Oryctolagus cuniculus: one gene and its partners. The protein of the gene in region 2 purifies or fractionates together with the protein of the main gene of each other region. This does not show direct contact. Links are inferred from orthologs where the notes say so. Each region holds a gene or a part of one and is shown on either strand. Other genes may lie near its edges. The genes, in order: PHLPP2, NHERF2, PRKD1, ARHGEF6, LPAR2, PLCB3 and PHLPP1.

Evidence for each region.
Region 1: the proteins of NHERF2 (region 2) and PHLPP2 purify together in Homo sapiens (affinity purification with mass spectrometry; 3 studies listed by BioGRID and IntAct, with this or other methods). This does not show direct contact. The link is inferred for Oryctolagus cuniculus from reciprocal best matches to the Homo sapiens genes NHERF2 and PHLPP2.
Region 3: the proteins of NHERF2 (region 2) and PRKD1 purify together in Homo sapiens (affinity purification with mass spectrometry; 3 studies listed by BioGRID and IntAct, with this or other methods). This does not show direct contact. The link is inferred for Oryctolagus cuniculus from reciprocal best matches to the Homo sapiens genes NHERF2 and PRKD1.
Region 4: the proteins of NHERF2 (region 2) and ARHGEF6 purify together in Homo sapiens (affinity purification with mass spectrometry; 3 studies listed by BioGRID and IntAct, with this or other methods). This does not show direct contact. The link is inferred for Oryctolagus cuniculus from reciprocal best matches to the Homo sapiens genes NHERF2 and ARHGEF6.
Region 5: the proteins of NHERF2 (region 2) and LPAR2 purify together in Homo sapiens (affinity purification with western blotting; 3 studies listed by BioGRID and IntAct, with this or other methods). This does not show direct contact. The link is inferred for Oryctolagus cuniculus from reciprocal best matches to the Homo sapiens genes NHERF2 and LPAR2.
Region 6: the proteins of NHERF2 (region 2) and PLCB3 purify together in Homo sapiens (co-immunoprecipitation; 3 studies listed by BioGRID and IntAct, with this or other methods). This does not show direct contact. The link is inferred for Oryctolagus cuniculus from reciprocal best matches to the Homo sapiens genes NHERF2 and PLCB3.
Region 7: the proteins of NHERF2 (region 2) and PHLPP1 purify together in Homo sapiens (affinity purification with mass spectrometry; 3 studies listed by BioGRID and IntAct, with this or other methods). This does not show direct contact. The link is inferred for Oryctolagus cuniculus from reciprocal best matches to the Homo sapiens genes NHERF2 and PHLPP1.

What each region holds. Positions count from the first base shown.
Region 1 is NC_091449.1:55,608,619-55,612,118, reverse strand, and holds part of PHLPP2 (PH domain leucine-rich repeat-containing protein phosphatase 2), read right to left. Parts: intron 1,367-3,500; coding exon 1,256-1,366; intron 455-1,255; coding exon 260-454; intron 1-259. UniProt on the Homo sapiens protein: Protein phosphatase involved in regulation of Akt and PKC signaling.
Region 2 is NC_091450.1:33,196,704-33,200,650, reverse strand, and holds the start of NHERF2 (Na(+)/H(+) exchange regulatory cofactor NHE-RF2), read left to right. Parts: upstream 1-1,147; 5' UTR 1,148-1,197; coding exon 1,198-1,410; intron 1,411-3,097; coding exon 3,098-3,298; intron 3,299-3,947.
Region 3 is NC_091443.1:45,772,058-45,774,820, reverse strand, and holds the end of PRKD1 (serine/threonine-protein kinase D1), read right to left. Parts: intron 2,424-2,763; coding exon 2,338-2,423; intron 1,489-2,337; coding exon 1,270-1,488; 3' UTR 501-1,269; downstream 1-500.
Region 4 is NC_091453.1:114,529,963-114,533,462, reverse strand, and holds part of ARHGEF6 (rho guanine nucleotide exchange factor 6), read left to right. Parts: intron 1-97; coding exon 98-223; intron 224-1,778; coding exon 1,779-1,799; intron 1,800-3,500. UniProt on the Homo sapiens protein: Acts as a RAC1 guanine nucleotide exchange factor (GEF).
Region 5 is NC_091447.1:66,278,354-66,282,460, reverse strand, and holds the start of LPAR2 (lysophosphatidic acid receptor 2), read left to right. Parts: upstream 1-1,307; 5' UTR 1,308-1,491; intron 1,492-2,126; 5' UTR 2,127-2,135; coding exon 2,136-2,868; intron 2,869-4,107. Other genes in the region: GMIP (GEM-interacting protein), read left to right, coding at 1-136. UniProt on the Homo sapiens protein: Receptor for lysophosphatidic acid (LPA), a mediator of diverse cellular activities. Seems to be coupled to the G(i)/G(o), G(12)/G(13), and G(q) families of heteromeric G proteins. Plays a key role in phospholipase C-beta (PLC-beta) signaling pathway.
Region 6 is NC_091432.1:7,057,967-7,061,970, reverse strand, and holds the start of PLCB3 (1-phosphatidylinositol 4,5-bisphosphate phosphodiesterase beta-3), read left to right. Parts: upstream 1-1,204; 5' UTR 1,205-1,353; coding exon 1,354-1,452; intron 1,453-3,871; coding exon 3,872-3,949; intron 3,950-4,004. UniProt on the Homo sapiens protein: Catalyzes the production of the second messenger molecules diacylglycerol (DAG) and inositol 1,4,5-trisphosphate (IP3).
Region 7 is NC_091441.1:15,654,533-15,658,032, forward strand, and holds part of PHLPP1 (PH domain leucine-rich repeat-containing protein phosphatase 1), read right to left. Parts: intron 1,912-3,500; coding exon 1,765-1,911; intron 846-1,764; coding exon 615-845; intron 1-614. UniProt on the Homo sapiens protein: Protein phosphatase involved in regulation of Akt and PKC signaling.

The DNA of each region.
Region 1 (3,500 bases), on a different chromosome or scaffold from region 2:
AAGTACTTAGAGGTCACAGACTCTCTGGAGAATCTGATGAAACCTTACCCCCTTCCTCCCTTCCTCCACACACATACATATAAACAATGCAGATGACTCCTGTGGCTCTTTAAAGAGCCAAAGTCCCCACTTCCAAGCCACAGCAGGATCACAGAAGGAGTGGGATCTGTCCTGGATCCAGATCCTAATCTTCTGGCTTACAGAGACTGACTTTCCAAAAGCAGAACTGAGTTAGGGATTATTCAACCCATCTGCTTACCTGTGAGACACCAAGAAGGTGCTCGCCATGAAAACGGTGTCATGTGCTGACTGCTGTACCTCTTCCAACAGCACGTCTGCCATCGTGCACTGCAGCAGGCGAGGGAGCTCCTCGTTCCGGTCGCCGTCAAACATGCCATACGCGGCTCCCACACCCTCTGCCAAGTTATCCATAGCTAGAGCAGATACACACAGCCTAGAGCAGAAACAGAAGAAAGACAATCATCAAAGAAAGTGTTTGGTAACAGATTATTCTCCAACTGAAGTTGGAGCAGAACAGCAGTAACTCTCAATTTACATGTGAGAAAGTCCCTAGAGAAAATAATCCAGCAGAATCTAAAACAGTGATGTCCTAAGGAAAGGCGTGTCTTGCCACACTCATGGGCAGTACATAGTTTTGCAGTGCTGCCCAAGGCTGGAAGATAATGTATTTTCTCATGGTAGTGATTAAGAACTGGATTTTGTCAAAACCCTTCAGCCCAAGAACCCCAAAGCACATCTGTAACTAGACAAGCCGGGTTTATTAGACCTTGCAGCAAGGGTGAATGCTAGTCCATGAAACCATGGGGCGTACTGGTAAGAGGATGTTGGACAGAAACGAGTATAAGATTTGGGCTTTGGTTGGGTCACTGGGCAGGGCTCTAGGAAGTGGAGGATCACACTAGGTTGGGTGCTAAGAGAAAGCAGGACGACTCCACAGTTGGGTATTTCAACTTTGTTGACAGGGAAGGAAATTTAACACAAGGATAAAGCTGTAATTGATAACCTAAGAAGCAAACACCCATGTTAGCCATGAGAGGAGGTGTTTGGTATTCTGTGGACTGCACACGCACATTTGTCTCACTTTAGCATAGTCTCAGAAGGATCTTATGTGAGCTGACATGCTGATATGCTTATGTGCAACAGAACATCAGGGCCTCACTAGGAGCACCAGAGACATCTGAGACACCAGGGGCTGCCAGTTCTTGAACTCAGTCTTCACAGTCAACACACTCACTTATTTCTCTGTCCTGCCATCTCAGCCAGTCCGTGGCTCCAGAAGGTTGATGTAATGGTAGAATCTGTGGTTGGCAAAGGTTTCTGATCAATTTTTAGTGTTGTGATATGGCTGTTGAGGTGAAAGAAGAGAAGATTAAGCCATATATTAGACTGTCTTTGATGAAAACTCTCCCAAAGATATCATGTGTTAAGATTAATTCTTTTCAAAAATTCTTTATTTACCTGAGAGAGCTGCAGAGGGAGAGACAAAGAGGGTCTTTCAGGGCTGGTGCTGTGGCATAGTGGGTAAAGTTGCCACCTGCAGTGCTGGCATCCCATATGGGTGCCAGTTTGAGCCCTGGCTGCTCCACTTCTGATCCAGCTCTCTGCTACAGCCTGGGAAAGCAGTGGAAGATGGCCCAAGTCCTTGGGCCCTTGCAGCCACATGGGAGACCTGGAAGAAGCTCCTGGCTCCTGGCTTTGGATCAGCACAGCTCTGGCCGTTTCAGACATTTGGGGAGTGAACCAGTGGATAGGAAACCTCTCTTTCTCTCTGCCTCTCTGTAATTCTATCTTAGAAAGAAAAATACAGAAAAAAAGGAGAAAGAAACAAAGAAAGGAAGGATGGAATAAAAGTCTTTCATCTGCTGTTCTACTCTCCAAGGGGCAGCAACAGTTAGGGCTGAGCCATGGGTGCAGAGGTCCAAACACTTGGGCCATCCTCTGCTGCCTTTCCCAGGCCATCAGCAAGGAGTTGGATTGGAAGTAGAGTAGCCAGGACACGAACTGGCACCCACTGGGATGCAGCAGCTCTATCCACTGTACCAAAATGCCAACCCTAAGGATTAATTCTTAAGTATTTATTTATTTCACAGGCAGAGTAACACGGGTGGTGGGGAGAGAAAGAGAGAGACAGAAATGGAGAAAGAGAGAAGGCTCTTCCATCTGCTGGTTCACTCCTCCAATGGTCAGAGCTAGGCCAGGCTGAAGCCAGGTGCTCAGAACTCCATCAGGCAAGTTCGCAGGGAGATGGATCAGAAGCAGACAGCTGTGACTCAAGCTGGTACCCCAATCTAGGATGCTAGCATACCAAGCAGCAGCTTATTTGAAAGGCAGAACAACAGAGAGGGGAGGAGACACAGAGAAATCTTCCATCCTGTGATTCACTCTCCAAATACCCACAACAGCCAGGACTGGGCAAGGTCAAAGCTAGGAGCCAGAGACTCCATCCAGGTCTCCCACATGGGTGAAAGGGGCCCAAATTCTTGAACCATCATCCACTGCCTCCTCAGGCTCTATTATCAGGAAGCTGGATTGGAAGTAGAGCAGCCAAGTGCCCCCACCCCCTAACCAGGAGGAAAAAAAAAAGAAAAGGTGCAGCAAGAAGAAATAGGGGCCAAACACTGTCAAAATTAATGCCATTCTTTTCAATCAAGATCTCAGCAAAACAAAGATTTCTATGCTTCAGTCATATCTACTTATTTTACACATTTTGATACAGGTACAAAGAACTCGTACATCTTACAGATGTTGTAATGCAATCTGTACCAACTAATATATTTATGCCTAATATGTAAAAATACCAGACATATGTTTGTGTGGTAGCCATGTAGTAGTTTTAACACAAATAGACTGACTACTTCACTGCTGCAAGGTGCAGCCCCTAGGGGCTGTGTAGACAGGGCTGGTCTGTGGCAGATACGCAGGGGTGAGCTGGAGCGCTCACCCGAGGGGTGTCCCCACATTGTAAGTGGGGGGTAGGGGTCTGTGGCTCAGCATCCTGCCTGCTCCCCATACTCTGCAGCTGTTAGAATGGGAGAAACAGCTTGGGGCGCTGTGTACAAGGTGTACAGACCAGGAAGAGGGCAGCCACTGGGAACACCCACTGCCCTCGCAACTTCCTGTGTTTTGTTTTGTTTTGTTTTGGACAGGCAGAGTAGACAGTGAGAGAGAGAGACAGAGAGAAAGGTCTTCCTTTGCCGTTGGTTCACCCTCCAATGGCCGCTGCGGCTGGTGCGCTGTGGCAAGCGCACTACGCTGATCCGAAGCCAGGAGCCAGGTGCTTCTCCTGGTCTCCCATGCGGGTGCAGGGCCCAAGGACTTGGGCCATCCTCCACTGCACTCCCTGGCCACAGCAGAGAGCTGGCCTGGAAGAGGGGCAGCCGGGACAGAATCCGGCACCCTGACCAGGATTACAACCCAGTGTGTCAGCGCCACAAGGCGGAGGATTAGCCTATTGAGCTGCGGCACCGGCCACTTCCTGT
Region 2 (3,947 bases):
GAGGTGAGGGTGGGGGCACCCACGATGCCACGAGCTCCTGGAGGTGGGCACCCAGGGGGCCACGGTGTGGGTGGGGGCTGGAGAGCCCAGGCCAAGAGAACTGGAGACGGGAGAGCAAGGGGTGAGGACTGGGGCCCACCTGGGAACTGTCTGGACTGCTGCGCCCCACCCCTGGGGCAGGCATGGGCAGGGGTCCCTGCTGGGCTGGGGCGGGGCAGGCCAGGCCGCCTCAGGCCTCAGCCGTGAAGGCTGCAGGCTTGGGCCGCACAGCCCTGGGCCTGGGGGAGGGGTGCTTCCCTCTGTGCCAGTAAAACTGCACCTGGAGAGGCCTGGCCAGGCAAAGTGCTGCTGGCGGTTGTCAGCCGCAGGGCAGGGGAGGCGTGGCAGAGGCAGGGGGCAGGTGCCAGAGACCTCGGCTCAGGTGTGCCGGTGCTGACCACAGAGTACAGAGGCCAAAGTCTCGGGGCAGGAGGCCAGCCCCCGACCGACCCTGCAGCCTGGGACTCCAGGGTCTGCCGGGGCCTGGGGTAGGCCTCAGCCAAGTGCGAGAATGGAGGGCCGACCTCTAGGGAGCCCACGGGCACACAAAGCCCACCCTGTCACTACGGCCTCCAGGGGCCTCCAGGCAGGTCGTGGGGCTCTGTGCAGGGCAGCCCTGGCTGCGGGAGGGTCCCGGGGGTGAGGGCAGTGGCTGGGGAGCAGGTGAACCGTGCGGGTGGGCAAAGGACCGCCCAGGGAGGGCAGGCAGGGCCTCACTCCGGGGCCTCCCTGGGGGTTCTGCCTGGGGCCACTGTCTCCCACCTGGCCCCCAGCTCAGGAGCCGGCTCTAGGCCCTGCACAGGAAGCCAGAAGCGCTGGCACCAACGTGCTGCCAGACACAGGGGTTCCCCGGCCCTGAAGCCTCCCCTCCAGAGCCCCTCGGGCAGCTGGGGCCGGGAGGCAGGGCCAGGCCAGCGCGTCGTGGACCCGGGGCGGGGGCGGCCGGGCGGCGGGGGCGGGGAAGGGGCGGGCGCGGGGGCGGTGCCCCAGCCCGAGCCGGAGCCCGAGCCGGAGCCCGAGCCCGAGCCCGAGGCGACTGGAGCCGAGCGAGCGCAACGCCGAGGCGGCCGCCCGTCCCCCGCGCCGCCCCCGCGCCCCGGCCTGCGGGCCCCGTAGCGCCGTGGCCAGCCCGCGGCCGGCCGGTGGTCAGCGGGCGCCATGGCCGCGCCGGAGCCGTTGCGGCCGCGCCTGTGCCGCCTGGTGCGTGGCGAGCAGGGCTACGGCTTCCACCTGCATGGCGAGAAGGGCCGCCGTGGGCAGTTCATCCGGCGCGTGGAGCCCGGCTCCCCCGCCGAGGCGGCCGCGCTGCGCGCGGGGGACCGCCTGGTCGAGGTGAACGGCGTCAACGTGGAAGGCGAGACGCACCACCAGGTGGGTGCCGCGCTGCGCCCCGGCCGGCTGGGCGCTGCCTGCGGGTGGCGGGCCCCGCACCTCCCCCGCGACGCTCAGCCCCGCACCGCAGCGCGGGGGAAGGCGTTCTGGCAGGGAGGGGCCGCACTGCGGCTCCAAGCCGGCCCTCGGCCCCCTCCCCCCGCCTGGCTCCAGCCTGTGTGTCGGTGAACCCGGGTGCTTCCTGAGCCTGTGGGACTGTGTGACCGCGCAAGGCCTCCGGGGTCCTGCCCGTGTGGGTGCCAGCAGCCAGGCCCCTGCGCGTCTGGGCGGTGTAGACCGGCCAGTGTGTCTGCAGCCGGGGTGCCTGGATCCGGTGCGAGTTGGCAGTCCCTGGTGGCACATTCCATAGCTGCTGCGACCCTCACCCTCCTCGGGGCGCTGTGGCCACTGCCCCCTGCTCCTGCAGCTGGAGAGGGTAGGGCCTCTTCCCTTGCAGGCTGTAACCCCTGGGATGTCCGTCTCCCGCTGGCCAGGGACTCACCTCAGATCCTGGCCAGAGTCCAGCCTCCCTCCGGACCGGCTGCTCCGGCTGCTCCGTGTCCCTCACAGCACCGCTGAGCCTGTGGCCTGTCTACGTGGCCAGTACTGGGCCTAGGGGTTAGCAGACAGCTGAGCCACTGGCCGGGCTTCCCGGGGTCCCCTAGCCTCTGTCTTCCAGCGAGACTGGAAGCTGGGTAGAGCGGTGCTGTGTGCTGAAGTGCAGTGGGGGTCAGGGCCACAGGTGGGGGAGGCAGGGCTGGCAGAGCTGGCACCCCGCCTCTGTGTGACAGCCATGGCCATCCTCGCTCCAGCTGCACCTGCTGTTCCGGGCCCCTGGGCACTTGTCTGAGAACTTCACACCCAGCCCCAGCCCCAGGAGGTGCGGCCGGGACTCTGCTTTACAAATATGGAAACTGAGGCTTGGAGCTTCAGTTTGGGTCACAAGTCGGGGAGCAGGGCCGGGCGAGGACGGGCCTGGCTCGCTCCCCCTGTTGCTTGACAGCATCTGGGGAGCTGGGCAGCAGGTGGGAGCCTTCTGCTCCGCTCTTCCACAGGCCGAGGGCCATAGTGGGCACTGCCCTCTCCCTGCTGGCACACGCTGGCACCCTGTGTGCTCCCAGACACACAGCGCCTGGAACGCCGCACCTGTGCCACGGGCAGACCTGCCCCTCTCCCCGCTGTCCTCCTTACCCGACCGTGTGCGGGGGCCTGAGCGGGAACCCAGCTCTCAGCTGTCCGCAGGCCCAGCAGGAGTGGGTCTGTGGTCTGCAGGCAGACGGTCTGTGTCTAGGGCAGGTTGAGATTCCCGTGAGAAAGTTGAAAGCAAGCGAACATGCACAGCCAAACTAACACCCGACAGCACCTCCCGCCTCCAACCTGGGCTGGAAGGCAGACTTGGAAACAGATGGTGCGCACACACGAGCGTGTGCACACGCACGGGCAGACCGAGCCCCTGAAGCTCATTCAGTGCCGTCTTGGTCACCTCCACCCTGGGCTGAGAGCAGCTCAGGGCTGGCTGTGTCAGGGAGCCGGGGGCGGGGGGCGGAGCCGGCGGGGCCAGCCGCCCACCCCTGGCAGCCTGGCTGCCTGTCTGCCTGCCAGCCCAGGCCATCCCGGAGTGGTGCCACCGTCCACGTGCTGCCCGGGCTGCCGGCCGCTGACCTGCCCCCGTCCCTGCCTGCCCCAGGTGGTGCAGAGGATCAAGGCTGTCGAAGGGGAGACCCGGCTGCTGGTAGTGGACAAGGAGACGGACGAGGAGCTGCGCCGGCGGCAGCTCACCTGCACCGAGGACATGGCCCAGCGAGGGCTCCCGCCCGCCCACGACCCCTGGGAGCCAAAGCCGGACTGGGCACGTGCAGGCAGCCTGAGCTCTGACGCTGGCCAGAAGGTACGGCAGCCTCTGCCCGTGCGGCCACCCTGGCCTCTTGACAAGTCTTCACCCCGCCCCGGCTGCCTTCTGGGTCCCTCTTCTCTCAGTCCGAGTTCCTAACTGGGGGTAGACAGGACAGCTCGGCCCCCTTCCCGGCTCGCTCTCTGTCCCTGCCCTTAGCCTGGCCCAGGGCGACGAGGCCCTTCCTGCCCGGTGGGCGGAGTCACCGGACCCTGGGAAGGAGCGAGCCTGGCCCCTCAGCAGCGTCTGCGTCTCTGTCTGTCTGTCTGGTCTGAGTGTAGGGTGAAGCCCTCGGAGAGAGCTGGCCCCAGAAGCTGCTGTGCGCAGCCTGGTTCAGGAAGCTTCTAGGGCGAGCCCACCCTTCCCCCAGTCTTCAGCAAAGACCCCCCAGCCGCAGGAGGGGTGGGGACCTGGAAGTAACCCTGCGGGGCAAGCATGTGAGCCCTGGGGAAGAGCCGTCTCCTACCTCTTTGGTTGACCACATCCCTTGGGGGGTTCCGCCTAGGGGTTCCCCAGATTCCGCTTTGAGAACCCCCGGCCTGGGGGCAGTGGAGGTATTGGGCCTAACGTGTGGGGTGGGCGGGGGCCTTCACGTGGACCTTTTTCCTTTCCCACCCTCTCCCACCACAGCTGGCTGCGCTGTGAG
Region 3 (2,763 bases), on a different chromosome or scaffold from region 2:
CTGGTTCATTCCTCACGATGCCCACAACAGCCAGTGCTGAGCCAGGCCAAAGTCAGGAGCTTGAAACTTCATCTGGACCTCCTACATGAGTAGCAGGGATTCAAGTATTTGGAGCCTCCCAGGATGTGCATTAACAGGAAGCTGGATCTGAAGCAGAGACATGCTGTGCCACAATGCCAGTCCCTAGCATCAGTATTCTTAGTCCCTGACTTACACTGACTAAATCAGGAAGCTCCAATGGGATTGCTATTTGCAGTATTTCCAACTATGACTAGCAGCATCATGTTTGAAAGCTGTCTTTACTACTGGAAACTAGAAGTACTGCAAGACTGAAAGTGTTCATTATATTCTGAAACATTTTTGACCACTTCAGCATCAAGTTGAATTCTACACCATGAGATTTTTGTCCTGCCTTTTTGAGTAGATATTTCTGCTTCTAATTGGTCTGAAAATAATAGCGTGGACAACAAATGGAAATAATCCAATCAAATGGGCACATATTTTGACAAGAATATTTATTTGTTATTGTTGAAAAATACACAAAGGCAAAAGGTCACTTAGCTGCTGGTTTTCCATGGTACAGCAGGGTGTTGTTACAAAGGGGGAGATACATCTGTTATATAGAGCAGTTTACATTTCTAAGGCATTTAGGTTTAAGAACAGTAGGCCCTGCATGCCTAGGTGCGTTTACTTGAGTTTAAACATAATGAGGAACACCAGGCAGACAAAGAATTTGAAACCACACAATGAAATTCTTTCATGCATTTATATCAGGACTTCATGTCCTTTACCCTACCCATCCCACCTTTTGTTTTTCCCCAGGTGAGTTTGGAGTTGTTCATAGAACACCGGTAATAATTGACTCTTCAAGAGTTTGCTTACAAAGACAACACCAATGGGACACACCAAATGGAACTGCTTCGTGGATAGGTTCTGTCCCTTATCAAAATGAGGCTCCAGTAAGAAAAACACTGATTTGCCAAGGCACAGTGGAGACAGGTTTAATGCATTAAATATAACATGAATCATTCACAATAACAAGTTTAGTGTTTCAGGGAACTTTTGTTAATAAAACACAGTTGGTCACACAAAATACAAATGCTTCTGTTGATTTGTCTTGGCAACTCAGATACATCAACAGTGCTAACAGTTTAACAGCTTTGTTCTCATCTGACAGAAAATAATGGCAGTTCTGCAAGGCAAATGTTAAACCTGACCGTATGTATTTATTAATTCCACAGTGTTTTGACAGATTATAGGGGATGGAACTTAGAGGATGCTGACACGCTCACTGAGGGCTTTCATCTCTGTTTCTTCGGTCTCAGGACTGTCACCGTGGCTGGCGCTCGGATTGATCAGGTGTGTGGGGTACTGCAGCCCCTGCTCGCCTGCATACTGCTCCCACCTTGAGTCATCGCTTTCATGGGTGATGTAGCGCTCCCCAATTTTGCATTCCAGCTCTCGTAAATCTAACCAGGTTTGATAGTCCTGAAGAAGAAATCCCAAAACATTGCCATAGAGATCATTGCAACACAACACGCCTTTTCATATGTTGTCACTTCCCACAAGCAGACTTACCCTTTCTCTTCCACTCTAACAGTGCTGCATCTTTCATCACATATCCTCAAGTTACAGCATGAGCTGCAAAGCCATCCTCTTCACCTAACCTTTCAAATACATACTGTTCATATGATACCGCGGATCGACGTGTATGCAATTAATGCTTGCAGTCAAGCAATTAGGAATTTCTGTTTCCCTTTGAAATGTAATGCCTACAAATAATCCTTCAGTATTTCAGAGTATCATTTTTAAAACTTTAAGTTCAACAAATATTTAAGATAACATATAAGCATACACATGTACTTTACATTTGCCATGCATTTTTTCCATGTTCCAATAGCCTAGGACTTAAAAATAGAGCTTTTGATTGAATACAGTGAGTAACTATTTGGACATTTATCAGGATTTATATTCTGAAGTTTTTGAAATCTGGCCCTCTGAGACATGTTATTATCCTTGTTTTCTGTTGGTGGTGGTGGGTTTTCTTAGTGCTTATTTTGGTGTGTGCCTGTGTGCGTATATATGTGTATCTCTCCTCTATCACATTTCCTTTGTAGAGACAGAGGTTTTGAAACACTAAACTATTACTAAACCCTAAGATTTTACATGCATTTGGCAAACAAATTAATTAGAATTATTATTATTTAGAATTATATATATAATTATATATATGTTAGAATTATCATACATTTTAAAATAGAAGAAAAGTTTCCACAAATAATGTTAGAATCCTATAAATATTTCTCCAACCAAGAAAAATCAAGGATTGATTTTTACCTGTAGCCAAGGATGACTCAGGGTCTTATCCACACTATAGCGTTTTCTCATTTTTACTTGCAGCAAATTATTGATAAGATCGATGGCTGAAAAACATTTTTAATCATTATTAAAAAGAGATGATAAATCTGGAGCATATGCACAATTCATTTACAGTTTATTCCACTTCTGTTATTTCACACAGTCAAGTGTAACACAGTGATAACAGGTACTACAATCTGAAAAAAAAAATTCCCCTTGAGGATTCTAAAACCATGAACTTCATTTTATTTACGATACATATTTAATTAATTGGGTACTTAAAAAGTGAAGTTGGAAATAATTGTGAAGGAAAGAGTATCAGAGTCTCTTGAATAATGTAAATTTCAATTGGTCTACTCTTTAGTACATTTTTTAAGAAAGGGAATTTTGTTTAAATATGTCATT
Region 4 (3,500 bases), on a different chromosome or scaffold from region 2:
GGTTTTGCTGATCCACAAAGCTATTGTTCTCTCTGTGTGTGGCACAAGGTCGGGTTCAGATGGCAGATTGCCAGTATCTCATCGGACATTTTCCCAGTCTTTTAGCTCTACCGGACAGTCCCGAGGACCCTTGGAGCCTCCTCAAATTATAAAACCGTGGAGTTTAAGTTGTCTGCGACCTGCACCTCCACTTAGACCATCAGCAGCTCTAGGTTATAAAGAGGTAATTTTGCTACATATGGTATAAAATGCTTTTGACAAGCTAATATAATAACTTATTACAAATAGTTTTGTGGGAATGTGCTAAACCTTATGATAGGTGCTATATGTCAGTTAGTATTGAATTGTTAGTGTTGGTGATTTTTTTTGCTTGTTTCTTGATTCTCCATTTCCCCGTTGTCCATCTAAAAACATTTGTTGATTAGCCACGGGGTTGATGTGCACAATATGAGTTTCCCAAGCCTCCTCCAGAAATGCCTCTGGTTTACCTCTGAGATAATTTTGATAATTGTTTGAATTAGTTAACAAAGTATACACAACTCAAACAAAAGCCACTTCATTGGAGTTGAATTTTCAATCAAGTAGATGCAACTCAACATTTTGGATCATTTTGATTAAATCAAATTATAACCCAGTCATGGGTCCAAAGTACGAAAGATATTTGCCCTAGTTAGGAAGGGAAAAGAATTTAATGAAAGGAATGTCATTTGAGAAGGTTTCTCTGCGAGAACCTTAAAGGACATTTGATATTTGAATAATATAGGGATTTCAAAGCCTTTTTTATCCCCTTGAAGTTGTAATCAGGAAATATCAGTCACTAGTTGCTCTGTGGAGTCTTACCTTTTCCATTCACACTGATTTTTTTCCCCCAAACCTGTTTCTCATCATTTCATATTTCAGAAAGAATGCTCATTTATTTGTAACTTTTCCTTAAATAGGTATTGTTGACTGAAGTTTAAGTTTGTGACAGTTATGAATCTAGATTTATGGTGCAGAGACAGCATCTATTTATCTATCAAATGTGTGTTCTGAGTGATGCAGACTCCGCTTAGTTTTGAGTGTGCTTTGATTTAAACCACCATGCTTCTGTTTCAATTAATTGTTGTCACCAACTTTTAGTGTAGTAGAAATACATCAGTATTTGGACACTGGAGGACTTTTTGATTCTTTCAAGCTGGTGTGGAAGGAGAAATAACCCTTGAATTGAATCTTTATTATGTACCTCGATTCAGAATTTGGCCAGGAAACAGTCCTACAGATTTGCTTTGGAAATTTACCCAGTTTCTTTGGAAATTTACCCAGTTTCTTTGCAATTTACCCAGTTTCTTCTTTGATTCCCTAAACCAGGAGTGCTACTTCATAGTTACCTTTTTAAATGGTGGATAATTTGTAATTGTCAGTTGCTAAGGTCAAATTGAGGTGAGCTTTGAAGGGGGGAAAGTCAGCTTAATCCTTCACATAACTAATCTATTAAAACCAAGGCATGACCACTTTGTTTCTGCTGGGGGAAGAGAATTATTAATATATTCTGATGATGTGGTGTGTATTTCAGTCATTTTCAGCATTTGTTATTCTGCACAGAACTGTATTTCTTGGGCTTTTGCATGATGATATGGCATCTGAAACTAATGTGGGAAATGTGATGATATTCTTTCTGTGTAATTTATGATAACACTAACATTTCAAATGTTGTTTTAGAATTATTGATAAATGGATTTGGTCATTATAACCATCGACCTCTCACGCTCATCTTCTCTTTCTTTACATATTCATTTTAGAGGATGTCTTATATCTTAAAGGTAAGGGTAGAATAATATCTTTGGCTTACAGTGACATCATAATACTGTGCTATAACCTTTGATGAATGAAGCTTTCTCTTATGCTTGCTTTGTTCCTTGTTATATATACTTGGTGGCTAAAATATGAAGATACAATTCTGACATGTAAGTACTTTCTTCCCAGAGCAGGCTTGTATGAAATTCATATGCAAATGTCACCCTATAAGGCCTTAAAAATGCCAGTGTTCCTTTGTGTGTGTGTGTGTGTGGTTTTTTTTTTTTTTTTTTTTTTTTGGACAGGCAAAGTTAGACAGTGAGAGAGAGAAAGACAGAGAGAAAGGTCTTCCTTTTCTGTTGGTTCACCCCCAAATGGCCGCTACAGCCCGCGCTGTGCTGATCCGAAGCCAGGAGCCAGGTGCTTCTTCCTGGTCTCCCATGCGGGTGCAGGGCCCAAGCACTTGGGCCATCCTCCACTGCCTTCCCGGGCCACAGCAGAGAGCTGGACTGGAAGAGGAGCAACCAGGACAGAATCCGGTGCCCCGACTGGGACTAGAACCGGTGTGCCAGTGCTGCAGGCGGAGGATTAGCCAAGTCAGCCGTGGCGCCGGCCCTTTGTTTTGTCCTGTTATTCTTCACATGTGACTTTTTCATCCTGTCTGTTTTCAAGAATTAGTGGATCACTGTGACTAAGTGAAAGAAATCAAACTTTTGTTTCATATATTTTAAGATACTAATTATTATCGATGTATCACATGTACACATAGCATGGAAGGAAGATGGGAATAAAATGATCATGAGGATTTTTTTCCCTGAGTGTAAGTGTCTAATCTATTTATTTGGATATTGTCAATGAGAACTTTTGTCATTTGTAGGTTATTCATATGACAAAAGCAAATTCAATAATTTTTTATTTGCTAATTAAAAATCTGGCTTTGGGTGTTACAACATAGCAAGTGAGGCTGCCACCTGTGACACTGGCAACCCATATGGGTGCCCATTCATGTATCAGCTGCTCCACTTCCTATCCAGCTCCCTGCTAATGGCCTAGAAGCAGAAGTTGGCCCAAGAGTTTCAGCACCTGCCACCCATGTGAGAGACCCAAATAAAACTCCTGGCTTCTGGCTTTGGCCTGGCCCAGACCTGGCTGTTGTGGCCATCTGGGGAGTGAACCAGCAGAGAGATGATCTCTCTATCTATCTCTTCCTCTCTTTATATAACTCTTACTTTCAAATAAACATCATTTATTTTAAAAAAAGAAATTTGGCTTCATACATGTATAGTTAAGCTTGGCTGTGGGTGTTATTCTTAGCCCCAAATTATTTATCAGGCAGTCATTTGGTTCTCTGTGGAAAAAAATGACTTAATCTTCCCTCTTGACAAATAGAAATTATATGCTTCTTTGTGGGATTGTTTCTGAGGAAAAGTTATTTAAATAATTTTGAGGTTCTTTGAGAAGTGATAAATGCTACATTAGTAGGTATAGTTGTTATTTAATCCCCTTAAACCGGTATCAGTGGGAAACATAAACCATGGGAAGAATGTTTCTGTTTTGTAAGGTTAATCTCCATGACTCTTAGTGGATATGGTGCCCTAAGGGCATTTGGCCTCCTGGAGAATCTGCCAGGAGGCACAGAACACTCCATTCTCCTGCCCACCCCTAAAGCAGTTGGCAGGATAATGCCACCGCCTCTGTTTCATTTCACCTTTTAGCCTTTATAAGAA
Region 5 (4,107 bases), on a different chromosome or scaffold from region 2:
CCGCACCCCGCTGCCCAAACATTTTGAGATCACCCAAGAGACCGCCCGGCTACTCTCCAAGCTGGACAGCGAGGCTGTGCCCAGGACCGCCGGCAGCGCCGACCCCCAGCCCGAGGAAGATGAGGAGCATCTCTGACCACCCCTGGACCCTCTGCGGGGGGGCTTGGGACTGTGAAGATGGACCCATGTCTCGCGTGCCTGACCGCCCCCCCCAGCACACACCTGGGGCCAGAGCTCCACTTGGGGGGGGTTCCTATAAAGACTGCGTGGCCTGGGGGAGGCCCAGAACCTTCCCAACACACACAGGTCATGGCCAAAGCCTCAGGGCCGCTCCAGGTCACGGTCAGTATCCAGGGTCCACCCCGGACTCTGACCCTTTGGGTGCCTTTTGCTGCTTGGTGTGGGCACTGCCCCACCGCCGCCTGCCGACTTCACCGAGCCAAGCCACCCACCAGTTCTTGGTGGGGGGGCAGCCAGACCCCACAGCCCCCTGGGTGCCCGGGATCTGGTGGTTTCTGAATAAATGTCGCCCTGTGTACACCGCGTGTGGCTGCCGAGGAGGGTGCTGGGGAGAGGCCGGCCAGGGCAAGCCCCCTTTGCCCCCGAGTGAGCCGAGGGCCCCCCTTTTCCTCCTCATGCCCACACACCCTTGACCCACCTGTAGGCAGAAGGGGCCTGGGCACGCGGCTGAGTCACAGCTACGCGTCCCCAAACCGGTCCTGTGTAATCAAACAAACACGACCAAGTACAGATAACCGGGACAATAGGGCCTCGTGTTGCACTCCGTGGGAGTCCTGGGCCGCCGCAGGGAGGCTGGGGGAGGAAGCCGCAGGCCGGGGCTATGCAGGGGGCAGCGCTGTCCCAAGGCGGAGAGCGCCGGAGGGCGGGGGCGGGGGTCTGCGGGGTGGGAGACCTGCGCTGGGGAAGCCCTGGCTGGGCGGGGGTCGCGGCAGTGGGAGCCGAGTCGGATCAGGGCGTGGCTTGCAGCTCGGCGGCCGATTGGACGCCAGGGAGAGGGCGGGGAAAGGGGGGGTTCTGGGGCGGGGGGCGCGGCCTGGAGACCACCCGGGGCTGCGCCCGGGCCGCGCGTGGTCCCGGCGGGCTTTCTCCGTCGCTGGGAGAGTCAGTCTCCAAAGTGCGGCCGCGTTCAAGGTGTGCGGGGGCCGGGGTGAGGGTCCCGCGCCGGAAATGGAGGGGGGCGACCGGGGTAGGCGGGGAGGAAATGAGGGGGCTGCGGTTCCGGGCGACCCAGCTTGGGTTGCAGGCGGGCGAGGCCGGGTTCCCTCCAGGTGGCGGGGCGGGGCGGGGCTCCCCCAGGTGGCGGGGGCGGGGCTCCGGCCAAGGGGCGGGGCCTCCGGGCGACCCCGCCTCCCGCGCGCCCTCCGCAGCCGGACGCGCCTTCGTTCCCGCCGCGGTCGCGGGGCCATGGACTCCGGGCCCACCCCAGCCCCCGACCAGCGCGCCCCGTCTGCAGCCTGACGCGCTGCCCAGGTGAGGCCCGCACCGACGCGGGACCGGGGAGCGCGGACCCCGGGGAGGGCGCGGCACGTGTCCGCGGGGCCTGGGCGCCGCCCCCTCTCCCTTCCCTCCCCACCCCCAGCCTAGGGGCTCCGGGCGGCTTCGCCCAGCGCCTTCTCCCCGAGCGCCCTCTTTGTCCCGGCGGCCTCCAGGGTCCTCCGTCCCACCCGGAACGGCCCGATGCCCCGCCCGCTTCGGGAGCTCTGGCACCTAAATCCTGCCGGCCCGAGGACTGCAGGGACCGCCTAGCTGCCGCCTCCCAAAGGAACCGCTCAGCTCCCGCAGGGTCCCGGCGAGGGACTTCACTTTGCGCGCGCGCGCGCGTGCGCGTGCATGCACGCACACACACGCGTTTCCTGGTTTCTCCTCCCCGCACTTGACCCGGGCACCTCGTCTGCTCACGCAGCTCACGCCCCTTTGCCCTGTTCTCTCCCTTCCCCTAGCTCCCCTCTACCCGGCCCACCCCCACCCCCCGGGGCCCGGCCGGCACTGGACTGCGGATGCGTTTTGTCTGCCTTCCTCCTCCTCTCCAGGCTGCTGCTGGCTCCTTGTGTGTTTCCAAGGAGCTTCACTTGCACTGACCCCCGACTCTGTGCCCCCCCCCCCAGGTGGCCACCATGGGCCAGTGCTATTACAACGAGACTGTGGGCTTTTTCTACAATAACAGCGGCAAAGAGCTGAGCTCCCACTGGCGGCCCAAGGACGTGTTGGTGGTGGCGCTGGGACTGACGGTGAGCGTGCTGGTGCTGCTGACCAACTTGCTGGTCATCGCGGCCATTGCCTCCAACCGCCGCTTCCACCAGCCCATTTACTACCTGCTGGGGAACCTGGCGGCCGCCGACCTCTTCGCCGGCGTGGCCTACCTCTTCCTCATGTTCCACACGGGGCCGCGCACAGCCCGGTTGTCCCTCGAGGGCTGGTTCGTGCGGCAGGGCCTCCTGGACACGAGCCTGACGGCCTCGGTGGCCACGCTGCTGGCCATCGCCGTGGAGCGTCACCGCAGCGTGATGGCCGTGCAGCTGCACAGCCGTCTGCCGCGCGGCCGCGTGATCATGCTCATTGTGAGTGTGTGGCTGGCCGCGCTGGGGCTGGGGCTGCTGCCCGCCCACTCGTGGCACTGCCTCTGCGCCCTGGACCGCTGCTCTCGCATGGCCCCCCTGCTCAGCCGCTCCTACCTGGCCGTCTGGGCCCTGTCTAGCCTGCTGGTTTTCCTGCTCATGGTGGCCGTCTACATCCACATTTTCTTCTACGTCCGGCGGAGGGTGCAGCGTATGTCGGAGCATGTCAGCTGTCACCCCCGCTACCAAGAGACCACGCTGAGCCTGGTCAAGACGGTGGTCATCATCCTAGGTGAGTGAGGGCCTCTGCCTTCTGACCCCACGACACCCAGAGACCGTGAACTACACCTGATAAGGGCCGGGCGTGGGCGGTGATCCCTGGCGAGCTGTTATCTCGGCACAGACTTGAATGCTCCAGGGGGAGGAAAAGAATTCCAGGCAGACGGAACAGAAGGTGGAAAGCCTCAAGGCAGGAGTAGCCCAGAGTCTGGGAAGAAAGCAGCCTTCAAGGTTGGCTGGGGGGGGGGAGCAGATTGGCCAGCCTCGGAGGTCAAAGGTCGGGGACTAGAGTCGCGTTTTGTTCTGAGTTCTATCAGAAGTCCTTAAAAAGCTTTGGTTTTGCATCTTAAAAAAAAAAAAAAGTATTTATTTGAAAGAGTTACAGAGAGGTGGGGAGAGATGGCTGCAATGGTCAGGGCTGGGCCAGGCAGAAGCCAGGAACCAGGAGCTTCTTGCGGGTCTCCCGGGTGGGTGCAGGGGCCCAAGCGCTTGGGGCCGTCCTCCGCTGCTTTCCGGGGCCATTAGCAGTGAGCCGGGTCGGAAGTGGAGCAGCTGGGACTTGAACCATCGCCCAGATGGGATGCTGGCATCGCAGCTGATGGCTTTACCTGCTATCCCACAATGCCGACTCCAACTTTTTTTTTTTCCTTTTTAAGTTATTTATAGGGCTGCTGCTGGCTGGCTCCGTGGCTCACTAGGCTAATCCTCCACCTGCAGCTCCAGCACCCCAGGTTCTAGTCCCGGTTGGGGCGCCGGACTCTGCTGAGGCCCGGGAGTGCAGTGGAGGATGGCCCAAGTGGTTGGGCCCTGCACTCACATGGGAGACCAGGAGGAAGCACCTGGCTCCTGGCTTTGGACCGGCCCAGCTCTGGCTGTTTCAGTCATTTGGGGAGTGAACCAGTGGATGGAGGACCTCTCTCTCCATCTCTCCCTCCCTCTCTCTGTAACTCTGCCTTTCAAGTAAATCAATCTTATTTTTTTTTAAGAGTTATTTATTTGAAAAGCCTAGTGCCAAAGAAAGAAGGAGAGAGGTCTTCCATCCACTGGTTCACTCCCCAAATGACCACAACAGCTGGGGCTGTGCCAGGAGCCAGGGATTCCATTGTATCTCCTACATGGATGGTAGAGGCCCAGGTATGTGGGCCGTCACCTGTCTGCGTTTCCAGGCACATGGGCAGGAAGCTGGATTGGAAGCAGAGCAGCCGGTCTCAAACCAGCACTCTGATATGGGATGCTGGTGTCGCCAGCCGTG
Region 6 (4,004 bases), on a different chromosome or scaffold from region 2:
CCCCCTTTCTTTGTCTTCCCAAGGGCAGGGAGTGGCTGTGAGAAGTCTGAGGCTGGACACCCCCCAGGAAGCTGTGTGACCTTGGGCAAGCCTCTTGCCCTCTCTGGGTCCCAGGTAGAGACGAGAATTGCAGCCTACAGAGCCAAAGCCAGAGCCTGGGAGGTTCACTGGGTTGGCGGCCAACACAGTGGGGATTTGGAGGGAGGCCAGTGCCCGGCGGGGCTCCTCTTGGGGGTCCGAGAGCCTGGGGCAAAGGGGCCTGCAGGCCTGTCCTCCTCAGCTGACCCCTCCTCCCCCAGAGCGGCTCCTTCTCTTTCTGGGTTTCTAGGTGACTTGGCTGGCCCCTCTGGATGAGTTCTACTTTAAACCTGCTGCTGCCACAGCCTCTGTATTGGGGGGGCTCCCACAGGGGCCCCCAGGCAGGTGCCCCCCCGGCTGAGCCCTGCGGGAGGGGCTGCAGCCCTGCCCCTCCTCCCATGCCTGGGACACAGATTTCAGGGCACCTACCCAGGGCCAGGCACTGCAGAGCGCCCCCTCCCCAACTCCCTCCTCTGGGCACACCCCCGAGGCTCGCACCCCTCTGGGTGAACAGCCCTTTGCGGTTCTGACAGAGGCCAGCAGTGCCACGCCGGTCTAGGGGTCTACGGCGCAAGCAAGGGGCTGTGCCAGGGTTCACTCTGGAGGCCAGGATGCCCAGGTCCTCAGAGGAGGCAGGTGCCTGGCTCCTAGGGATGGGGGTGGGGGAGGGCCGCCTGCCCGCGGGAGGCCCATTAGCCTGCTAAGTGCTCCCAGGGAGGGGCGCAGCGCTGCTGCCAGAGGGGGTGAGGCGAAGTGAGGGCACCGAGAGGGGGTGGGCTTTCTCTGCACTCAGCTAAGAGCAGCAGGGGCGGGGCTCTGCCTCCCCTGGCCCAAGGGCCGCCCCCCACTAGACCCTTGCTTGGTATCTCAGAAACCTCAGCGGCCCCTCTCCCATCCCTCCAGCTGCGCCCCGACAGCCTAAGGAATCACTCCCTGCTGAGCCACCCCAGCGAAGCCCCGCACTGCTCCCCGCGGCCCTCCGCCTCAATGCCCACTCCGGCTGCAGTCACCGCCCCGGCCGCCAGGGGGAGCCGGCGCGGGAGGGGGCGGGCCCGACGCCGAGGGAGGGGGCGGTGCCGCCCGGGCCCCGCCCCCGCCCCGCCCCGCCCGGGCCCCGCCGAGTCTCTGGTCGGTCCCGGACAGACTGGCGGGCGGGCGGGCGGACGCTGACGCCGCGGGGCTGGAGCGGGCCGCGCGGGAGCGCGCGGGCGAAGCAGCGGCGCCGTCGGTCCCCGTCGGGGCTCCGTGCGTCCCCGGCCCGCCCCTGGCCCGGCCATGGCGGGCGCCAGGCCCGGCGTCCACGCGCTGCAGCTGGAGCCGCCCACCGTGGTGGAGACCCTGCGGCGCGGGAGTAAGTTCATCAAATGGGACGAGGTAAGAGCGGCGGCCCCCCTGCTCCGCCCAGATCCGGGGACTCCTCCACTCGAGCTTGGCCGGGCGCCCCCCGGCCCAGCCTGGCTGCGCTCCAGGAACCAAGCCCCGAGTTGTCCCCGTGGTGAGACTTTGCCCCCCAAGACACCCCGTCTCTCAGCTCCGGATAATTTGGCCTCCGCTCCTCGCGCCGAGACTTTGAACCCCAATAAATGCAGCCCCCCCACGCGCTGGTCTCACTCCTGTCACATTAATTCTGGTTCCCCGCCTCGGCATGGCCCCCACACCCCTGCCCGGCACGGGGCTCCCTGGCTGGAGGACCCCGACCTCCACTCTGGCTGGGGGCATCCTCGTCTCTGGTGGGCGCCGCTGGGCCCCCGCTGGCCCATTCAAACCTTCCCCACCCTCCTGGGCTGGTGCCCGGGCCCGGCGCCCCGCGTCACCCCCCAAGTTCACCCACCCCGGGAACTTTGCTCCCCCTCCTTAGCCTCGGGACTTTGAACCCCAACGAGCCCTCTCCCCTTGTCTGCCTCCGCCGCTCCCCGGACGCCCAAGCTCCCACCTGCGCTGCCGCCCGCGGCCTGAGCCCCACCCACGGTCTCGCCGCCCCTCTCTGGCCCCCAGGGCCTCCACCCCGCCGGCCGGCTCCTCGCCGCTCCTTCCCAGTCAGGCCATAGGCCTGGAAGACTCGGCTCCTTTCCGGCTGGGTGGGGCGGGTAGGCGTGGGAGCTGGGGGGAGGGGCTGGGGGCGTGGCCCGGGCGGCAGGTGTGCCGGCCCGGGTGCCCCGGCGCCCCGTGGGGGGCCCGGGGAGACCCCTCCCCTAAGGCGGGCCAGAAGGGAGAAGTTTCTCCTTTGCCTTCCAGTCTGATAAACCCAAATAAGGAAGTGGAGGCCCGGAGAGGACCCTGGGGGTGGGGTAGGGGTGCTGCCAAGGGCTTGGGGCTGCCGGGCTGGGGCCTGGGCTGCCTTGGAAGGCAAGACCCTCGGGAAAGGGCTGGGGAGGGGCCTGGGGGTGCCCACAGAACCCCCCCCCCAGTACTGGGGGCTTCAGCTGTAGGGCAGCCTTGGGGATCCCAGCAGGACTGGCGCTGGGTGTCAGCACCCTGAGCTGGGGAGGCCCATGTACCCCAAAAGTTCCAGGGGCCTCCTGTGCCTTCTGTCCCCAGATCCACCCCCACCCCTGATCCCCGGTCTCTGTAAGCAAGGTTGGGCGGGGCTGGCGCTGTCCCGTTCTGCGGATGAGGAGACTGAGGTGGGGAACGCAGGGTCCTGCTCCTCTGCCTCTGGGTCCCTGCCTTGGGCCTGCAGCAAGACGGGCGGCCTGGTCTCGCGGCCTGTACAGTGGGGACGCACTGGCACGGAGCTGCGAGGGCGGAGGGCGGCCGTGGTGATGCCGGCATCGCCCACCAGACAGCGGCCCGCTGGGGGTGGCCCCTGGGGTGCGCGGGAGCTGAGGCGGGAGAGGTCTCCCAGCTCCCAGCTCTCGGAGTCACGCGGTGACCGTGGAGTATGCCGGGGACTGGGCCCCCAGAAAGTGGGGCCGAGACCCTTCTGCCCCTGGGACGACCCGAGCCGGAGCTCCCTGCCTGGTTCCGAGGCGGGGCGAGCGTCCCCCAGGGACTCGCGCTTCTGGAAGGTGGAGCCTCGGGGAGCCTGGGCAGCACAGGGTCCCATGGGACTCGGCAGCTGGCGGGGTCAGGCTTTGCAGCCTCTGTCCCGTCAATATTCCATGGTGGGCTGCTGGAGTGGGGGCTCCAACCGTCACAGGGCCCCGGGACCTTTGGGGTCCGCGGAGCCCAGGGCGGGGGCTAGGGAGGTGGGCTGGATTTCCGGGATTAAGAGGGAGAGGCCGGCGTCGCAGCTCACTAGGCTAATCCTCCACCTAGCGGTGCCGGCACACCGGGTTCTAGTCCCGGTCGGGGTGCCGGATTCTGTCCCGGTTGCCCCTCTTCCAGGCCAGCTCTCTGCTGTGGCCCGGGAGTGCAGTGGAGGATGGCCCAAGTGCTTGGGCCCTGCACCCCATGGGAGACCAGGATAAGTACCTGGCTCCTGCCATTGGATCAGCGCGGTGCGCCGGCCGCAGCGGCCATTGGAGGGTGAACCAACGGCAAAGGAAGACCTTTCTCTCTGTCTCTCTCTCTCACTATCCACTCTGCCTGTCAAAAAAAAAAAAAAAAAAAAAAGAGGAAGGGAGATAGGGCAGTGAGTGACCCAGGTGGCCATACCTTAGGGTGGTGCTGGGGCCAGAACACAGGCCGCACCCAGGATCTTGGTTTTGTCCTGAGGGCCTTGGGCAGCCTGGGGGGGGGGTGTGTGGCTGCAGCAGGCGTTGTCTCGGCCACTACTGGACACCGTGGCGTGGCGGCTGGAGGGGTCAGCAGCCCTCACTCCCTGACCCTGGCTGTCCTGTGCTGTCCCCAGGAGGCCTCCAGTCGGAACCTGGTGACCCTGCGCGTGGACCCCAATGGCTTCTTCTTGTACTGGACGGGACCCAACATGGTGAGGGCTGGCGCTGGCGCGGCTCACTTAGGCCCAGGGCCCCTGCCCCAGACCT
Region 7 (3,500 bases), on a different chromosome or scaffold from region 2:
ACAGATTCAAAATGCAGGTTTTCTGCCCTTGTAAACATTGGTCAGACAAGGTCATAGATTTCAAATTTTTGTAAAAATGCTAAACTAAGAGCAGAGTCACAAGATGGAAAGATAGAAAATTAAAGTAAATTAATTAAATTTACCTAATGGATATATTATATTAAGAAAGCCAGGAAGGAAAAAACAATTTAAGAAGAGAAATTCTCAATGATGTCAAATGCCTCAGATAAGCCATGGAGAGAAAAAATTATGAAGAAAACAATAACCACTTTGCTTTCAATGACACACATTTCATTCACTGTAAATAGCTCTCTGATGCAATAGCCCCGTCTATTCATACACATTAAAACTGGATTCAGATTTGCAAAATTAAATTAAGACTTTCAGGAGATACAGTCATTCATGAATGAGAATTTTTTAAAAGCAAGTTTTAGGGTAAGAGTGAATGCTACCATCAATCATTCTTCTTCCCTTTGGGCAGAAATAGAAAAATGGGCCCTCGTTCAACTAATCAGGCTGTTTGCCTTGGGTAATATCACCAAAAGGTCTATAATCTACCACCCACAGACAAGCCAACCACCCAAGTGGTGTATATATTTCTCAAAAATGGTTACCTTAGATCCACATGCTTAATGTGAGGCATTTTTCTTAAAGCCTGTAGCCTAAGAGTCTCCATACAGTTTCCAGACATACAAAGTTTATCCACAGCAGTCAGTTTCTCCAATACCTCTGGAATGTCAGTAAATTCGTTGAATGAGAGACCAAGATAACTAAGCTGGTGCATGTTTTCCAACTCAGCAGGAAGGGACTGGAGAAAGTTTCCATCTAACAAAAATGTCTGTAAACTATGAAAGAAAACATGAGAATTACAAAGAGAATGGGTAAATTTTACATTTTTATCAACAAACAAGTTCCATAAGTACAGATCATATCACTATAAAATATATTACTCCTTGCAAAATGCATAAAGGCACAGCCAGAGGCAATAGTGGACCAGAGAGAACAGTTCAGAGATAAGCATCTTAATTTTTCATTAAAAACAGAAATTATAACCCATGGGGTCAGTTTGTGGCATAGTGGTGCTGCAGCTTGCAATGTTGGCATCCCATATGGGTGCCAGTTCATGTCTCAGCTGCTCCACTTCTGATACAGCTCCCTGCTAATGGCCTGGGAAAGCAGAGGAAGATGGCCCAAGTGCCTGGGCCCCTGCCACCCACATGTGAGACCTGGATGAAGCTTCTGGCTTCCACCTGGCCCAACCCTGGTCATTGCAGCCATTTGGGGGAATGATCAAGCACATGGAAGATATCCCTGTCTCTCTAATTCTGACTTTCAAAGTAAATAAGTACATCTTAAAAAAAAAAAAGAAAGAAAGAAATTGAGACCATCTTTCCCCAACATGCATAAGTATAAATGGAAACAATGTGGAGATAACTGCAAGTATGAACCAACCCAAATACTCATCTCTCCTTCTTATTTCTCTTCTGTGTCTTAGAATTCAATATAACACAAAAATGAGAAAGTAAACCCTCCTCCATGTTTAGACACACTCATCCATAGGAATCTTTAACTCTAAACAAAGATCTGTTAATTTTTCCAGCATTTTAACAGTATAAATCCAACAAAGGAATGCTTTACTGATCTCTTGATTTGGGGCCAAGACTTCCATGATCAGAACAAGTTCACTAATCTCACATGCTACTATCGGATGTAGTTTCCTTTAGTTTCCCAGATACCCCTGCCGTGGGCTTTAAAAGTACTGACTTGTGCATAGCTCCGACAGCTGCTGGGACGGCTTGCAGGGCATTGCAGGACACATTCAGCTCTGCCAGGGTTGGAATACTGCAGACTGCTAGTGGGAAGTCTCCTAAATGATTATTGGAAAGGTTAAGACTCTTCAACTTGGTGAACCTATTATAATAAAACAAAAGAAAAGAAGAAGCAAATTTTATAGCAGCATAACATAATTCTGGCATAGCCTTAAGAGGCAATCTGGTCTGACTCCCAAATATAACACAGGAGGAAATGGAGCCTTCAGAGGTTGAGGGAGCAGTAGAGCTAAAATGTGTATCTTTTGACTTCTAAGCCTGGTGTTTGACCTAAGAGAGAAACTTTATATCCAAAACACACTTGTCACTCTACTGCAAGGCTGAATGTTGGAGGTGGTGAGTTCTGCTAGGGTCTGCTTTTTAGCCATGCCTCAGCTTAACTATCACACATGTAAATGGTCCCAGGGAAGGACCCCTTTGAATTCCGTTATCCCAGAAAAACGAGGAACTTCACTCTACTTTTCTCAAATCTGAAACAGATATAGTAAAAATTTTAACATTTATTATAATGACACACTAAGGTAACCAGGACTTCGCAGTTCCAAATTTAAGAGCCAGTTATCAGTCTTTAATCTCATTGTAACACTTGATACTGCTGGCCATGCACCTTTCCTTGGAAAATTCTCATTTCATTTTACCACAGTATTCTGGGTGGACAGTCTTTTTCTTTTAGGACTTGGACTATGTCTCTCCACTCTCTCCTAGCCTGTAGGGTTCCTGATGAGAAATCAGCCATCTAATTGAATCACCCAAAATTGAACTTACCTCAAACCAGCATTTCCTCTTGTTCTATTTTTGCTATTTTTTTTTTCATTTTCTTAGTTGCCCAAATAACTAAAGCAATTTAAAAAACTACCTTTCATTTTTACTTCTCTGTGAGCTCCTACATTTGGCTCACTGCCCACCTTTACATCATTTCCCTATGAGATGAGAATCACAGCAGTCACTGCATTATGCTAAGTCTTTTAAAAACCACCCAAAGTGTACACTCTGCCCAAGACTGATAAAACATTCCAAAAACACTTCAATTCAGCCCAGTCTGTAAAAGAAAGCATCATGGGACCTATCTGTTGAATTCTGTAATAAAAAGTGTTAAGCTCTACTCTAAAAATTAAAAACTTTATTCTACACAGAAAGCTGATAACACAACTATTTGAAAGGTTGAAAGTGTTAATCTTCATTTTTTTTGTAATAGCTGTTTTCTTGGAAAGCTGAGTACAGATATAGAAGTATTTTAAATTATCATTAACAACTATAAACTCAGTAAAGAATAACTGCTAAATATGCATAATAATTTTTAAGTTGTCTGCTTTATATTTTTCACTTTGATTCATTAGACTTTCTTAAAATGAGCAATGATTATTCTCTAATCTAATTATCCATGATCTATAAAACACAAGGTAGAATTTCAGGGTCTATTATTTCTAGCCCAGTGAGCCTCAAAATATGCTGGGGAACACCAGAAACATTCCCTGAAGCTCTTTCAGGAGATCCCTAAAATCAAAATTATTTTCATAAAAATATAAAGAAATTTTCATCTGCCATTATCATTTTCTTCCAAGTGTTTGGTACTGATTGCCAGGTGACACATGTCTTACTTATAGCATATCAGACTGACTACAGAGAGATATGAGAATCTAGTCAGACATTAAAAGAATTGTAAGAATACAA